3 linked regions of the Callithrix jacchus genome follow. The protein of the gene in region 2 interacts with the protein of the main gene of each other region in a pairwise test. Links are inferred from orthologs where the notes say so. Each region holds a gene or a part of one and is shown on either strand. Other genes may lie near its edges. The genes, in order: XPO6, NUP62 and CRCT1.

Region 1 (5,859 bases), on a different chromosome or scaffold from region 2:
GAGTTGAAGATTTAAAAAGTCTTCTTTTTAAAGTCTCATTAAAAAGGCTCAAACTTATGCCAGTTAACACCCTTAAAAGTAAAAATGTTAAGTCAGTAAGAAATGGAGGGGAAATAATTTCCTGGAATAAAGAAAGAGCTGGGATCCCAAGGAAAAGACCCTCTGCCTGTAAGACACCAGCCAGGAAATAGTTTCCTTGCCTTTGGGGGACAGGGCCTACCCCAGGCAAGCCCCTGACTCTGGGATACCTACAGATGACCCACTGTGTCAGTGACACAAAAAGGACAATCCTATTCACATCAACTACAGCCACCCCCTGTACTTAAATAACTGAGGTCTAGGTGACAAAAACTTTGGCAATGTACCTCATAAAAAATGCACATGGAGGTCATGAAGCCAACTACTTCATTACTCAAAGGTGGTCATTCCCATGATGCTCTACTGACTGCCAATTAAAATGAAACCTGAATACAGGTGTGCTTGGCTAGCTCAATCAATAACAAAATTCTGTCCAAGGGTCCTAAAGTAATGCTGTAAGTTTCCCAACGGTAGGAACGTGTGTCTTGGTCATCTGTACGTGTCCTAGGCCCTGGTATATTGTGGCTACTGAAAATTCACTTGAAAGATTTGTACACCTGTATTCATAACAGGATTATTCACAAGAGCCAAAGGCTAGAAGCAACCCGTTTATCCACTGATGGATGAAAGGATAAACGAAATGTGGCACATACACACAATGGAATTCAGCCTTCAAAAGGAAGGAAGCTCTGACACATGCCATGACACGGATGAACCCAGAGAACACCGCGCCATGTGAAATAAGCCAGTCACAACAGGTCAGACACTGCCTGATTCCACTTCTATGAGTGACCTAAAGTAGTCAAATTCATAGGAATAGAAAGTAAAGTGGGGTGGGGGAGAGACTGAGAAATGAGGGGTACAGGTTGATTTGGGAAAAATCTTCCGAGATGGATGGTGGTGATGACTGCACAACAGTGTGAATGCTCTTAATGTCACTGAACAGTACACTTAAAAATAGTTAAACTGGCAAATTTTTATTATGTATATTTTACAATTAAAAAAACAAAGTAAGTGTTACAGCTCTTTTAGAATTTGTCTCTTTTGAATTTCTGATTTGGGCCAGAAAGCCCCCCAAAAAATAAAATAATTAAATAAAATTTTAAAGAATATTGAGGCCAGGCATGGTGGCTCACACCTGCAATCCCAATACTTTGGAAGGCCAAGGTAAGTAGATCATCAGAGGTCAGGAGTTCGAGATCAGCCTAACCAACATGGTGAAACGCTGTCTCTACTAAAAACAAAAATTAGCTGGGCATGGTGGCACAAGCCTGCCATCCCAGCTACTCCAGAGGCTGAAGCAGAAGAATCACTTAAACCAAAGAGGCGGAGGTTGCAGTGAGCTGAGATTACACCACTGCACTCCAGCCTGGGTGACAAGAACAAAACTCCGTCTCAAAAAAAAAAAAAAACGCTGGGCATGGTGACTCAGGCCTGGAATCCTCATACTTTGGGAGGTCAAGGCAGATGGATCACCTGAGGTCAGGAGTTCGAGACCAGCCTGGCCAACATGGCAAAACCCCATCTCTACTAAAAAATACAAAAATTAGCTGTGTGTGGTGGCACGCGGCTGTAGTCCCAGCTACTCGGGAGGCTAAGCCAGGAAAATTGCTTGAACATGGGAGGCGGAGGTTGCAGTGAGCGGAGCTCGCACCACTGCACTCCAGCCTGGATGAAAAGAGCTCCATCTCAAAAAAAAAAAAAAAAAGATGCTGAAAGAATAAATGAAGGAAGGAATAAGTGCTACTTTCATCAGCCACTAAATGTTCTACCTCATACCTCTAGATTATTCTTCAATTTCTATCCCCAAATTTCATAGTTGAGGAAATTGGAACTAAGAGCTTACCTGATCTGCCACAATACATACTGTGTACATATGTATGTTAAAATATATAGACTCAGTTGTGCATGGTAGCTCACACCTGTAATCCCAGCACTTTGGGAGACTGGGGGTGAGGGGGATCACTTCAGTTCAGGAGTTCAAGACCAGCCTGGGAAATATGGTGAGACCTCATCTCCACAAAAAATTGGCCAGGCATGGTGGCACGCACCTGTAGTCCCAGCTACTTGGGAGGCTAAGGTGAGAGGACTGCTTGAGCCCAGGAGGTTGAGGCTGCAGTGAGCCATGAACATGCCACTGCACTCCAGCCTAGGAAACAAAGCAAGACCCTGTCTCAAAATAAATAAATAAATAAAATATATACACTATACAAATAGCATATACTTACTGCACAGTGCTGCTCAGCATTCACAGTGTGCTTTATCCAGCTGGCTGTAAAAAACCTCATGACTTACACACTAACCACAAGCCCCTTGAATGTTTTGAAAATCCCACAGGTCCTAAGGTCTGTATCACAAAAGATGTAGCTAGGTCCCTTTCTCTATTACAGCACTAACTTGGGGTAAAATGGGTGACACTGAGGAGAACAGCTCCACCCCTGGAGGTGATCCAGTACTCACCGAGGGCTTACTATGTGCCAAGAGCTGGGGCAGATAAGGGTTCAAACAATTTGGTCTTTGATGGAGCTGTGTCTACCGCAATAGACAGATAAGGCTCAGAAATAATTACAAGAACAAAAAGACAAATGCTTAACAAAGATGTGGGTACACACATTTAGGGGAGTATTGAAGGTATCTATGGGTCTAGAAAACAGGAAAGGTATCTTCAGCAGAGGTCAGAGTATGTAGAACAGCAGCCTCGGTGTCAAAAGATCACGACCATTCCTGACTTCGCCATCACCTGTGCAAGGGACCTCTGTAAATCCCTCTCTCTGTTTCCCCCTATATAAAGCTACAGCTAGGTGAGATGCTTCTCCTACAATCACCCAGCTCTCTAAATGTATTAGAAATGCCCAGGTTCAAATCTTAACTCCGTTACTTAAAAGTTGCTTGACCTTGAGCGGGGGAATTAATTACTCCGTGCCTCAGTCTCCCCACTTCCGAACAGAGGGTTGGTGTGATCATCAAATACTACTGCACGTCAATCACTTCGGGCAGGGCCTTGGCAAGTAGTAAACCCTCAATAAACGGTAGTTATACTGCCGGAGGAGCTGCAGGAGGCAAACACCAGATGCAAGGGTTGTGCCTGCTGTGCTCCCAGGGCCCTCCCAGGCCTGAGCCATCACCCCTGGGGGGATGGGAGTGCAGGGCCGGGGCTGCACACTCTGCACGCATGTGTCACCGGCCAGGCTCGGCACGCGCCTCTCCCCGCCATAGGGAGAAAAGCGATGGCTCAGCAGCCCCGGGGCCCATTCCCACCCCTCCGGCAGGGCACCCCAGGAGGGAAGGGCTCCGATCCCACTTACCATGCTGGCCGGGGAGGGGGCGGCTCAGATGAGCTGGTTCTTGGGCTTCGGACACGTCCCGCTCGCACAGTTCAGGTCATGGTCCCGGCAGACTCGGGAAGTCCCCCGCCCGTGCAAAGACAACCCCTTCTCCACCGGGCCCCGTGGGGACCCTCTAAAAAGGGCAGGGCCACCCGGGTCTCCTCATCGGGGGCCCCGGAGACAATTCATCCAGACCCACCCGCCCCTCCCCAATGAAACTGAAAAAGCAGGAAATGGGGCTCGGATGCCGGCGAGGAGGGCAGCGGCTCGGGACCCCCGCCCGGGCCCGACCCCCGCGGGGGAGGCTGCGGGCCCAGGCAGGGGCTCCCCTGCCTCCGCGGGCAGAGGTGGCGGCGGGCCCGGCCCCGAGGGTGAAGGGGCGGAGGCTGACGGGGCCTCGGCTGCGCGGCCCAGGCGGCCGGCTCAGGGGAGAGGCCTGGGGGCCCGCGCTGTCCTCGCCGTCTCAGCCCACACGGCCACTGCCGCCGCCCCCGAGAGCATCCCTGCTCGCGCCCGCCCCGGAGCCGTCCGCTAGTACCGCGCGGCCGCCCCCGACCAACAGCCCCAACGCGCCGGAAGTGGCGAGCGCCAGGCGGCCTCACAGCGCGGCCGCCGGGCTGCGGCGCTGGAACCGGACCAATCCGGAATCGAGCGGGGCGAGCAGGGGGAGCAGGCGGAGGGCGGGGCGACACCTGACGGCTCCCACTGGCCCCGCCCTCTGGCAACGCCCCCTCTGGCAACGCCTTCTCTAGCCACGCCCTCTGGGCCCACAGCCCGTCTGTCCACGCGGGCTAGCAGCCATCTTGGTAAAGGGAGCCCGGGCTGCCATTTTAGTAAAGGCGCAGTTTCTCTTTCACTTCCTTCGCTCCATTCATTCCACAAAGCTTTACTGAGTGTCTTTTACGTGCGGAGCGTTGCGCTGGCTGGGTGGCGGCACACGGCCTCATGAGCTTACATTCATGCAGTCCACTGGAATATAGTGGACTATGTTAGCCCGGCTATATTCCAGGCGCCGCTGTGGGTGCTAGGTCGAGAAAGATAAACAAAACTTCTATAGTCAAAGTGCTGAGGGGGCAGAGAACGTGTTAAATTCCTGTTCCTAGCCTCCAACCCACTTTACTCGTGAAAGTGCTCATCTTTATTTTATTTTTAGGGACAGGGTCTTGCTGTGTTGCCCAGGCTGGAGTGCAGTAGCGCAGTCGTGGCTCATTGCAGCCCCAACCTCCTGGTGCACCACCATGCCCAGCTAAATATTTTTATTTTTTGCAGAGATGAGGTCTCCCTATGATGCCCGGGTTGGTCTGAGACTCCAGGGCTCAAGCAGTTTTCCCTCCTCAGCCTCCAAAGTGCTGGGATTACAGCTGTGAGTCATCCAGCCAGGCTGAAAGTGCTACTTTTAAGAAACAGAGAGTCAGGAAACTATCCCGAACAGCTGAGACTGAGCCCGCAGGTGTGTGTACTACCTAGATTGGAGCAAATCTATATAACTCTATGGCTCTTGTCAACCTTAAATAACGAGATTGAGAAAATAGGATTAAGTATAGGGTTTATTCAAACCCAAAGCTTGAGAATGGCCAACCAGAAGCATAGATTCAAGTTGCCCTGAATATATGCTCCAATTAGCAGCAGCTACAAATGGTTTTTTTGTTTGCTTGTTTGTTTGTTTGTTTTTAAGACAGGATCTTGCTCTGTCGCCAAGGCTAGAGTGTGGTGTTTTTCTGTTTTCGTTTTTGTTTTTGTTTTTTTTTTTGAGACAGAGTCTTGCTCTGTCTCCCAGGCTGAAGTGCAATGATCCAATCTCGGCTCACTGCGACCTTCACCTCCCGGTTCAAGCAATTCTCCAGCCTCAGCCTCGTGAGTAGCTTGACTACAGGCACCCACCATCATGCCAGGCTAATTTTTGTATTTTTGTAGAGATGGGGTTTTACCATATTGGCCAGTCTGGTCTTGAACTTCTGACCTCAGGTGATCTGCCAGCCTCAGCCTCCCAAAGTGCTGGGATTATAGGCGTGAGGCACCGTGCCTGTCCTCAAGTGGGTTTTTTGTTTTGTTTTTTTAAATTCAGTCTCCGTAGAGACTGTCACAAATTGCCAATGCCGACTATATTTTCAAGTCGTCATGGCAGGGTATTGGGAAAAGTTTTCAATTAGCAATAATCGCGCCTTGTATAAACCTCATTGGCTACGATACTGCCATTGCCCAAAGCTTCTCAAGTGGGTTTTTAAGGAAAAAAGAAGAGGCATAATATAAGGTTGAATAGGAATGGTGAGAAAGTGGAAAAAAAAATAACATAAGCTATTGTCTATACACTGTTCTTTGTATCACAAATTTCAGGAACCCAAAGGAAATGGGGGAGGCAGCTAGTCTGAAACAAAATATCTTTAAACAATTGTCCCCAGGCATGTGGAGGTGGGAGTGTGCCCAAACTCCTATACACAAATCTCAGTGGACCTGA
Region 2 (4,926 bases):
TTTTTCACGGCACCTGTGACTATGCTTTGGATGGAGCAGTTGCCCACCCGACCCTGGCTGGGACCAAGACTGTCAGCCCTTCTCCAGCATCTGACTGAGGCAGGATGAGATGGGTGTTTGCTGTGGGTAAAAAGGGGCCAAAGCCACTGAAATGAAAGCCACAGAAGCCACACCCATGAGGCTGCTGCCCGGGCAGAGGGCTCAGAACACTCCCTAAATGGGGAAAGTCAAAGCACAGAGCAGCTGTCTCCAGGGCACAGTCACGCGAAGGAAAGCAAGAAACAAGTATGCTGCTGTAACCCCACACCAGACCACAGGGCACACCCCCCCGTGGGACTCCCTGGGGACCCGCGGTGGCTCAGTCAAAGGTGATGCGGAAGCTGCGCTCCTGCTCCTTGCGCCGGCCCTCGCACACCTTGGTCACCTCCTCCACCTTCCTCTGCAGCAGGGCGGAGTTCTGGTCGATCCACTGCAGCGAGTCCATGTGTGCGTTGAGGATCTTGCAGATCTGCTGCAGCGGGTCGCTGGTGTCGGCGGGGGCCCCGGACGTGTTCAGGTGCTCGATGATGTCCTTGAGGTCCTGGGCCATGCGCTTCAGCTGCGCATCGATGTTCTCGGCCAGCTTGTAGGTCTTCTCGCGCTCCTCATCCGCGTGCTGCAGGTAGATGGTCCCGCTCTGCTCCTTGACCAGCTCCTCCAGTGGGCTCAGCAGGTCTTCCAGCTCCTTCTGCTGGGACAGGATGAAGTCGAGCTCCTGGTCCAGCCTCTTCTGGTCCAGCTTCACCTTCTCCACTTCTCGGTGCAGGGTGGTGATCTTCTCCCCGTTCTCGATCAGTGTGCGGTCCCAGGCGTTGACCTGGGTGGCCTGCTGGAGGAAGTGCCGCTCTTGGTCCTCCAGCTCCAGGCTCCATTTGTTGATCAGGCTCTCTAGCTGTGCGTAGGTCATGGCGGAGGTGGCGGCCACCCCTGCGGCTGCACCAGGGCCAGGTGGAGCAGTCACGGCGGCTGCCGTATTGCTGGGGATCCCGGCTGGCGCCAGTGGTTTTAAATTCAAGGCAAAGCTGGTGCTGCCGGTGCTGCTGCTGCTGCTGGTGCTACTGGTGGTGGTGATGGCAGCAGTGGATGTTGTTGTGGAGGTGCCGGAAGTTGCTCCGGGTGCTTTTAAGCTGAAGCCCAGTGTCCCAGTGGCAGGGGCTCCTGCTGTGGTTGCAGGGGTACAGAGGGAGAGGCCGGTGGTGGCGGACGAGGTTGGAGCGGTTGCTATTGAGGCAAAGAGGGTGGGCCCAGCACTGGTGGTGGTGGCCATTGGTGTGGGCGCAGCTGGCTGAGTGGCGCCTGCTGTGGTGGCTGCTGGCGTGGCCGGAGTGAAGGACAACCCGGCAGGTGCCGTGGGCTGGGCTGAATTCCCCGCTGAGCCAATGTTGAAACCAGAGGTTTGGGCCGTGCTTCCACCAGTGAACAAGAACCCTCCCGATGTGGTGGCTGGAGCCACTGAGGTGGTGGGGGGGCCAAACACAAAGCCAGTGGGTGCTGTGCCCTGGCTGGAGGTGGCGGTGCTCGGCATGGCATTAGTGAGGCTGCTGCTGCCCAGCCCAAAGCCGCTGGGGTTTGCCATGGCTGGGGTGGCAGCTGCATTGCTCAGGTTTAGCTTTGAAGCACCGGTCCCCAAAGAAAACCCAGTTCCCCCGGAAGCAGGAGTTGCTGTTCCAAAACTAAAGCCCGGCGTCTGTGTGGCCGGAGTCTGCGTGGCAAGTGAGAAAAGGCTGGTGGAAGGGGTACTTGCGGCTGCTTGGGAGGGAGCCCCAAAATTAAACCCTCCGGTGCCAGAGGTGGAGAAAGAAAACCCTGTGGCAGGTGTGGTGGTTGCCGTCTTCGCAGTGCCAAACGTGAACCCGCCTGTAGGGGCCCCAGTGCCTCCAAAATTAAACCCGCTCATGGCTCCAGACTCTGATGGCGGCAGCTACTCCAGCTCCGAAAGCAAATCCGTCGGTGTCTGCAACCTTGGGAAGATTTGTAAAGCAGAGGAAGCGACATTGTCAGATGGCAGTTTTGGAAAGGCAAACTCAGTGGCACGCAACCCCTCTTCTTCCTGTGTAACCTAAACCAGGCCCTGCTAAACCGAGGAGGATCCGAAAGCACCAGCGCACGCGCCAGGGGTCAGGTATGAGGAGCCGGGGTGCTAGGGATGTGCATGGCCACGTTTAGCACAGTGGAAGCTCCCACTCTGTGGAGGCGGAGGCGGAAGAGCAGAACCCTGGACCCACCTCGGTCCGAGGAGGGGATGAAATGTGAGGCACTGCCACCAGTGGGACTAGGACACAGAGGAACAGCTGTAGGACCTGCTCTCAGCATGGGACCCAGTGACATTCCCCCACTGACGCTAGCAGGGCGTGAGCAGATCAGCTCATGCCTCCCTAAGGGCCTCTCCGGACCTCACAGAGACACATGGGGCTGGGAACTCAGGCCAGATGGCAGAGCCTGGGCTGCTGAAGGCCCCCACACCTGCACTCTCTAGCAGGCAAGGACGCTGGAACGCCCTCTCTTAACTTGGGGTGGGGGGGTGTCTGAAACCCATGTGCTCAATCAGAACACAGATGCCCTTGGCTGCAGTGATTGGCTCAAGGATAAACTGAGACCTGAGCCAGCCAATCAGAGCCTCCCCTGGGGGAGGCAGCTGCCTCCTTCACCTGTAGGTGTGGTACAGAGGATTGCACCTGAGCCTCCCCTGGATATGTTCTCAACCATCTATCTGCAGACACTGGGACATCACAGGAGACCATGAGCCCCACCAGAGATGGGTCGGGGAGGGATAAAGAGCACCCCAGAAGCCCCATGGGCCAGAGCATCTCCATGTTCAAACTGACTGGATTTTGGTAATGTCAAACTGAAAAAGCTCCAGTGGCGCCATCCATCAGCGGGAAGCTCAAAGGTCACCTGGAGAGGAAGAGGTGAGGGAGTGCTGGACAGCGGTGATTTTCTTTTTTTCTTTTGGGAAAAGGTTTTGCTCTGTCATACCAGCTGTAATGCACTGACACAATCACAGCTCACTGCAGCCTTGACCTCCTAGGCCCAAGTGATTCTCCCACCTCAGCCTCCCAGAGTAGCTGGGATTACAGGTGCAAGCCACCATGCTCAGCTAATCTTTTTTTATTTTGTAGAAACCGGATCTCTGCTGCCCTGGTCTTGAACTCCTGGGCTCAAGCAATCCTTCCTCCTTGGCCTCCCAAAGTGCTAGGACTATAGGTGTGAGCCCTGAAGATGATCAGAAGTGTCCCTAGAAGACAGAGCCCGGGTGGATGTGACTGACTCGGGCAGACAGGAAAGCTTGGTGCCGAAAGCAGACCGGAGTGGTGCGCTTTCGAATCTGAAGATGGCGAAGGCCAGGAACCAGGGAAGGCATAAGCAGCTCGAGAAGCTGGGAATGGAGAGAGCGAGACCCTGTCTCAAAAAAAAGAATGAACAAAGTCACGACTGAGAAGCCAAGTGCCTGGCCCAGAGAAACACCCACGAGGTCTGTTTCCTCTTCCCTCTCTCCAGGCCAGTTTTCAAGTTTCTTGGTGTCTGCCCTCAGGAAATCCCCTTCTAGCTTGAATCAGAGGAAACCTGCCTCACTACCCCCACCCATTCCACTGTACCATTCTGCCTTCCTCAAGGCCCTCATTTTTGTTTCATCTGCCCCTCCTCCTCCACACAGCCAAGCAAGTCTGGGGAGACGACCGGGGGGCCAGCCGCATGGGGCTCTGCCGTGTCCAAGTCAGTGGATCTCAGTGGGTGTCCATGAGCACCGCCTGGCAGCGTTTCAAACACAAGAGTCTCTGCAGGGCTGGGATGTTGGCCCTGGCATTTTCATAAAGCTCTCCTGGGGAATTCTGAGAAAGGTCTCTTCAAGAGGCCACGGCAAGTGCCTGAGCCCCCAGGACTGCTGGGGCCCTGCCTGGCCGCACCCAGTCCTCCCGCTGTGGGCAGAACACAGGTCCTCACTGAGGAGCCACCTTGAGCCCGTGTGTGGTTCCCAGCAGCTAAAGGCATCTGAGCAGCTACGCCTACCCATCTCAGTTCTCAAGAACTCAGCTTAAAAAAGCTTTTGCTATTAATAAGCCGTAGCTAAAATTTCCAAGAAAAACATTTATAAAAAGCTCTTTGCAACTATTAAAAAACTACAAGAGAACACACACACACGCGCATACAACTACAAGAGGGCGGGGTGTGGTGGCTCACGCTGATCTCAGCACTTTGGGAGGCCAAGGCGCACGGATCACGAGGTCAGAAGATCAAGACCATCCTGGCCAACATAGTGAAACCACGTCTCTACTAAAATACAAAGAATTAGCCAGGCATGGTAGTGGGCACCTGTAATCCCAGCTACTCGGGAGGCTGAGGCTGCAGTGAGTTGAGATCGCGCCACTGCATTCCAGTCTGGCCACAGAGCAAGACTCTGTCTCAAGAAACAAACAAACGAAAACTACAAGAAAAACAATCTCCTGTGGGGCCTTATCTGGCTTCACAGTTCACCACTGATTAAGTGCATCGTTGGTTTCCAACACTTCAGATGCCTGGGATCTATTCACAATGGCAGCCCATACTGATCCAGCACTGATGCACGCAGTTTAGATATAATACGGCTTGCGTGGTGGCTCACACCTGTAATCCCAGCACTTTGGCAGGCCGAGGTGGCAGGATTGCTTGAGCCCAGGAATTCGAGACCAGCCTGGCCAACATAGTATGATCCTGTCTCTACAAAAACTACAAAAACAAGTTGGCCAAGGGGGCACCTGCAGTCCCAGCTACTTGGGAGGCTGAAGTGGGAAGACCATTGGAGCCCAGGGAGGTGGAGGCTGCAAGTGAGCCGTGACTGCACCACTGCACTCCAGCCTGCACAACAGAGTGAGACCCCATCTCGAAAAAGTAGGCTGGGTGTGGTGGCTC
Region 3 (5,715 bases), on a different chromosome or scaffold from region 2:
GTGATTCCAGCCAAATCATTGGAACTGTCTAAACCCATTTCCTCACATATAAAAAGTGGTGAAGTGAATGTCTATATTTTTAGATTACTGAGAAGATGAAGTGAGATAATATATGTAAAATGTCTTGCCTTGTGCCTGAGATAAAGTTAGCGCCAAATAAGTGGTAACTACTGTTACTCTCATTATCACCATTATTATCTCTTCCTTCCAAACGCAGCAGACATCATGCAGAGGATGTTGGTCTCCTGTTTCCTCATGCCGGAAATGAGTGGATAACATCTGTGTCCACAGGGACAGGTTTCTGACCTAGGCAAGATGACCCCTCCACTGCGGCTGCCACTGCCACAGCCACCATCTCTAGAGAATGAAAGCTCCACGTTTCCGAGCACACATGTTGCATCACAGAGATTCCCAGAAACCCATGGCTCTTGGTCATGCTTCGGCTGCACAAGTGAGACCTGGAGAGGGCAGCTTCCAGTTTCCTGGAAGGCTCATCTTAGGAAACAGTTTCTCCCCAGCAAGCAAAGCAGTGGGTCAATAATCTTTCATGGCAGAAAAAAAAAAAAAAAAAAAAAAGACAGTTGGCTTGATTCCAAAGCCCCCAAGAGTTGCCAAAACAAACTTTTGCCACACCGCTGCCTGGACCTGATGGTCAGGAGGACAAGCGCTTCAGTGGTAAGGCTTGGGAAGCCCTGGTAAGGACGAAGCAGAGCAACGAGCCCTGGTAAGGACGAAGCAGAGCAATGAAGCCCTGGAATCAGATGTCCTGTATTCATCTTATACTGGCTGGGTGATTTTGAGCAAGTTGCTTAACCTCAGTTTCTCTTCTGTAAAATGGGTATAACAGCATTTTACTAGCAAGTCATTATGAGAATCATATGGTGGCACATAAAGTCCTTAAAATACTCGAAACAGTGGCTCACGCCTGTAATCCCAGCACTTTGGGAGGCCAAGGTGGGTGGATCACGAGGTCAGGAGATCGAGACCATCCTGGTCAACATGGTGAGACCCCGTCTCTACTAAAAATACAAAAAATTAGCTGGGCATGGTGGCGCGTGCCTGTAATCCCAGCTACTTGGGAGGCTGAGGCAGGGGAATTGCCTGAACCCAGGAGGCGGAGGTTGCGGTGAGCCGAGATTGCGCCATTGCACTCCAGCCTGGGTAACGAGAGTGAAACTCCGTCTCAAAAAAAAAAAAAGAAAAAAAAAAAAATACTCGAAACAGTCAATATGTAATCGCTGCTACTGTAATGATCAGAAAGCCACCTTTTCATTCCGGCATGTATTATAGTTTTCTGCCTTTCACAAACATTTCAAGCCTTTCAAACTGCGGGGAAAAACGAATGAAGAACAAATAAGACAAGGCGTTCTCAGGAGGTAGAAGCTTTATTATGACATCTTCAGAGGACAATGGAACCAGTAGACATTTACCGAGCACCTGCTGTATGCAAACCCGTGCAGACAGTAGGGTCCAATGTCCCACCCACGGCTCTCGAATCCCCAGGGAGAAAAATCACATGAGGGTCAGGGAGTCTTCCGTGGCTGAGAACAGAGTGGATTTCCGAACATCAAAGTGCAATTCGCTTTACGGGGCAAACTCCGAGGCCCAGCCCCGCGTGGGAGCCACGGCGGGGCGGGCCCGCTCAGGGCTGGGCGGGTTTGTCTAGCGCAGCGCCGGGTGCTGCGGGCCCCTCAGCAGCCGGAGCAGCAGCCAGAGCCCTGGTTGTTGGAGCGCTGGGACCTCTGGCTGCCGCCCCCGCAGCAGCAGCAGCCGCGACCCCGCTGCCGGCGGCGCCTCCTTGGGAAGCAGCAGCAGCTGGTGGAGCTGGAGCCACAGCAGCCCCCGTCGGAGCCGCAGCAGCCCCCGTCCGAGCCGCAGCAGCCGCCCCCGCAGCAGGAGGAGGAGGAGGCGGGCGCCGGGGTGGGCGCCGGGGCCTGGCACGGAGCCGGGCCCTGGGACGACCCCTTGGAAAAGCCTTTGGCGGAAGCGGCGCTCTGCTGAGAAGACATCGCGGAGCTCCTCACGACGAACCTGGAAGAAAGACAGCCTTTCAAAGGCGAGCCGGCTTTTCTTTCCGCCAGTGGATCTCTGTCTGGTCTTTTGAGATTCGGTTTAGTGTGAAAGTCAGCCTGGCCTGGGGCAAGGAGTGGGGGAAGCACCCAGAAAGAGCGTATTTAAAAATACAAATCCAAGCAGGTGCTTCCAAGGAGTTAAACATGCTCAGAGCAGGACACAGTCTATGCAAATAATCGATACTTTTCCATTTTCTCTGACTAGAAGAGGACCGCTCAAGTTCCCCGCGGTGGAAAATAGCATAGTACCGCAACCTATCTGTGTGATCCAGTCCAGAATCTCCACCTGGCTTTTTTCGTCTCTCATTTTACTTTGCTACCGACCTTCGATGATATTTCCTAGTTGCTAGCATTGTATAAACACCCCATCACTTAGAAAACACCCAAGTACCACACGCGTCCCTACCTGCTGGTTCTAAATAATCCACCGGCCAGAAGCATGTCCTGCTCATCCTCTCTTGCCTATGCGTCTCATGCCCCACAAACACATGGGAAAAGAAGAGTTGTGCTAATAGAAATAAACCCGTCCACGGTGGCTCAAGCCTGTAATCCCAGCACTTTGGGAGGCCGAGGCGGGTGGATCACGAGGTCAAGAGATCGAGACCATCCTGGTCAACGTGGTGAAACCCCGTCTCTACTAAAAATACAAAAAATTAGCCGGGCATGGTGGTGCATGCCTATAATCCCAGATACTCAGGAGGCTGAGGCAGGAGAATTGCCTGAACCCGGGAGGCGGAGGTTGCGGTGAGCCGAGATCGCACCATTGCCTGGGTAACAAGAGCAAAACTCCGTCTCAAAGAAAAGGAAAGAAAGAAACCCGTCCAGGGAGCCAGAAGACCCGGGTTCTAGTCACAGCTCTTCTAGGGACTTGCTGTGTACCCTTGCAAAAGCCGCCTCCTGTATTGCCTTTATGTCCTTATTAGTGCCTTGAAAGGTTGGATCACTTGAAGCTGAGGTGCCTTGCAGCGCTCCCATTCCACATCTATCTGCTGCCTTTGTTCTGTTTTCTCCTCCCCTGTGCCCTCAACTCCTCCCATCCTCTCCCCAAGACCCTGCTAGGAGACTTACCAGACCTTGGCTCCGCTGGAAGACTCTCTATGTTCTCCAACTGGAATGAGCCACCTGCTAGGCAATGGATTGAGCAGTGTCCAGCCAGAACCTTTTATATATCAAAGAGGGTCAGGTTGGGGCCCTTGGGAGGGGCCCATTTCCCAACAGACATGCTCAGCTGACGCTCACATCCCAGAGACATTCATCACTCAGGTAGCACTGTAGGTGGTGCACGTGTGTATCCAAGTCACTTCGCAGAGGTGCCAGGATTGCTATGGCATGTTTACTTTCCAAATAGGGCACTGTTCATAGCTGGGAGGCTGTGTGAATGCTAACAGAAGGCGTGGGGGCTCAAAGGAAGGGAAGTCTGGAACCCCTTCTGCTCATGTCTGCAATACACACACACACACATACACACACACACACACATACACACACACACACACACGGCTCCACTTGCCCACACATCCGTTCCTGTGTGGTCATCTACTTGGTAGGTGGGAGTTCACCTATCTGTTATCTTGATTCTCATCTCTCTGGCTTTTGGTCCTTGGCTCCCCAGGGCAGACCACAAGCTATGTGATAAGCCTGCTGGGTTTCATCCATATGCTTCAAGATGCGGTGAGTGAAGATGATAACAGAGATGCATATGTAGGAAGCCCAGGGGTGATTTCTCTCTGTCACTGGAGACAGGAAGGAAATCATAGGCAAAGTTAAGGAACCATAATGCTGGAAAAGTTGTGAGTGTAGTCAGGTTACCATATCCCCATAATGCAGCTCAGTATGACTAAGAGAAAAATGTGTGCAGGACGGTGGCCCAACTGCAAAAAGGCAAGTCAGCCTGGGGGACGTCTGCTCCTTATCCCACCCGCAACCACCCACCTCCCTTTGAAGATAGGTTCTCCCTAGGGGCACTGCCCACCGCAAAAGAAAAGAAAGAAGATGGGAAAGGAAGAAGAAAAGAGGGAGGGAAAGAAGGAAAATAAGAGAAAGTTCTTTCCAAAGGTCCAAAGTGTGCATGATATACAGTGTTTTTGGAATAACTAATTTTTAAAAATTGAAGGATACTTTGGCAGTCAACTTCAGAACTGCTTCTTAATCAGTGCAATTGCCCACAACTATGAATGTGAACTATACTCAAAAGTCCAAGACTGAGAATTCAAGAATTAAGGGTGAGAGACAGGTTTAGGGGTGAGTGAACAGGGAGCGGCACGAGGGGATTAGCAAGGAAAGATAAGTCACAAAAGATACCAGTTTCATCTAACATCGATTTAGAGCCTGATTAACAGGTTCCCAGTACCTAGGGCACCTGTTGGTGAGTATAGGTGAGACATTCCAAAAAGTGCAGTCAATATTGGAACAGAGAGGGAAGTAATGAAATGACAAGACAGAGGCAGGATCTCCTAGGTGGAAATGGGTAAAGTTCTTTAAAATAAAAAAGAGTGAAGAATGTTTGGTAGGAATCAGCATGATGATCTGGGAAAGTGCCTGCTCATTCTGTGGACATGCTATGATCTCATAAACTAATGTACTTTATGTATCGTTGTTAACTCTTATCAAAGGAGGCATCCATTGTTTATCTTGTATATAAAAGGCTAATTTGGAATTAACTTTTCTAGTGTGAGTATATCCTGAAGGAACCAGCCCATTCCTAAAGAAATGTTACTTGGAAAACCCAACACAGTGACAAAACCCCATACTCTTACCACCTCTCACTATGCACACACACCCACACACAAACACATCAACCACACACCCAAACACACACACACAAACACACACACACAAATACAAACACACACACAAATACACACAAACACACACACCAACCACACCCCAACACACGCACACAAACACACAAATACAAACACACACACCAACCACACACACAAACACACAAACATCAACCACACACCCCAACACATGCACATAAACACACACAAATACACACACACACCAGCCACACACACACACAAATACAAACATACACACACAAATACACACTAACACACAAATACACACAAACACACACACCAGCCACACACACACACACGCCAGCCACACACACACACACCAACCACACACAAAACACACAAACACATCAACCACACACCCAAACACGCACACAAACACACACAAACACACAAATACACACACACACCAGCCACACACACACACACAAATACAAACACACACAAATACACACTAACACACAAATACACACAAACACACACGCCAGCCACACACACACAAATACAAACACACAAACACACCAACCACACACACAAACACACAAACACATCAACCACACACCCAAACACACGCACACAAACACACACAAACACACAAATACACACACATGCCAGCCACACACACACACAAATGCAAACACACACACATACACAAACACACATAAATACAAACACATCAACCACACACAAACACACGCACACAAACACACACTCCAGCCACACACACAAATACAAACACACACAAACACACACACCAACCACACACAAACACACAAACAACCACACACCGAAACACACGCATACAAACACACACACACAAATACACACACACGCCAGCCACA

The links.
Region 1: the proteins of NUP62 (region 2) and XPO6 interact in binary tests that used the Homo sapiens proteins (3 or more experiments, as listed by UniProt). The link is inferred for Callithrix jacchus from reciprocal best matches to the Homo sapiens genes NUP62 and XPO6.
Region 3: the proteins of NUP62 (region 2) and CRCT1 interact in binary tests that used the Homo sapiens proteins (3 or more experiments, as listed by UniProt). The two-hybrid records come from large-scale screens. The link is inferred for Callithrix jacchus from reciprocal best matches to the Homo sapiens genes NUP62 and CRCT1.

Annotation. Positions count from the first base shown.
Region 1 is NC_133513.1:28,798,201-28,804,059, forward strand, and holds the start of XPO6 (exportin-6), read right to left. Parts: upstream 4,043-5,859; 5' UTR 3,387-4,042; coding exon 3,384-3,386; intron 2,228-3,383; exon of another isoform or gene 2,130-2,227; intron 1,154-2,129; exon of another isoform or gene 1,091-1,153; intron 1-1,090. UniProt on the Homo sapiens protein: Mediates the nuclear export of actin and profilin-actin complexes in somatic cells.
Region 2 is NC_133523.1:43,684,786-43,689,711, forward strand, and holds part of NUP62 (nuclear pore glycoprotein p62), read right to left. Parts: intron 2,001-4,926; 5' UTR 1,937-2,000; coding exon 359-1,936; 3' UTR 1-358. UniProt on the Homo sapiens protein: Essential component of the nuclear pore complex. The N-terminal is probably involved in nucleocytoplasmic transport.
Region 3 is NC_133519.1:12,722,372-12,728,086, forward strand, and holds CRCT1 (cysteine-rich C-terminal protein 1), read right to left. Parts: upstream 3,212-5,715; 5' UTR 3,141-3,211; intron 2,032-3,140; 5' UTR 2,010-2,031; coding exon 1,692-2,009; 3' UTR 1,367-1,691; downstream 1-1,366.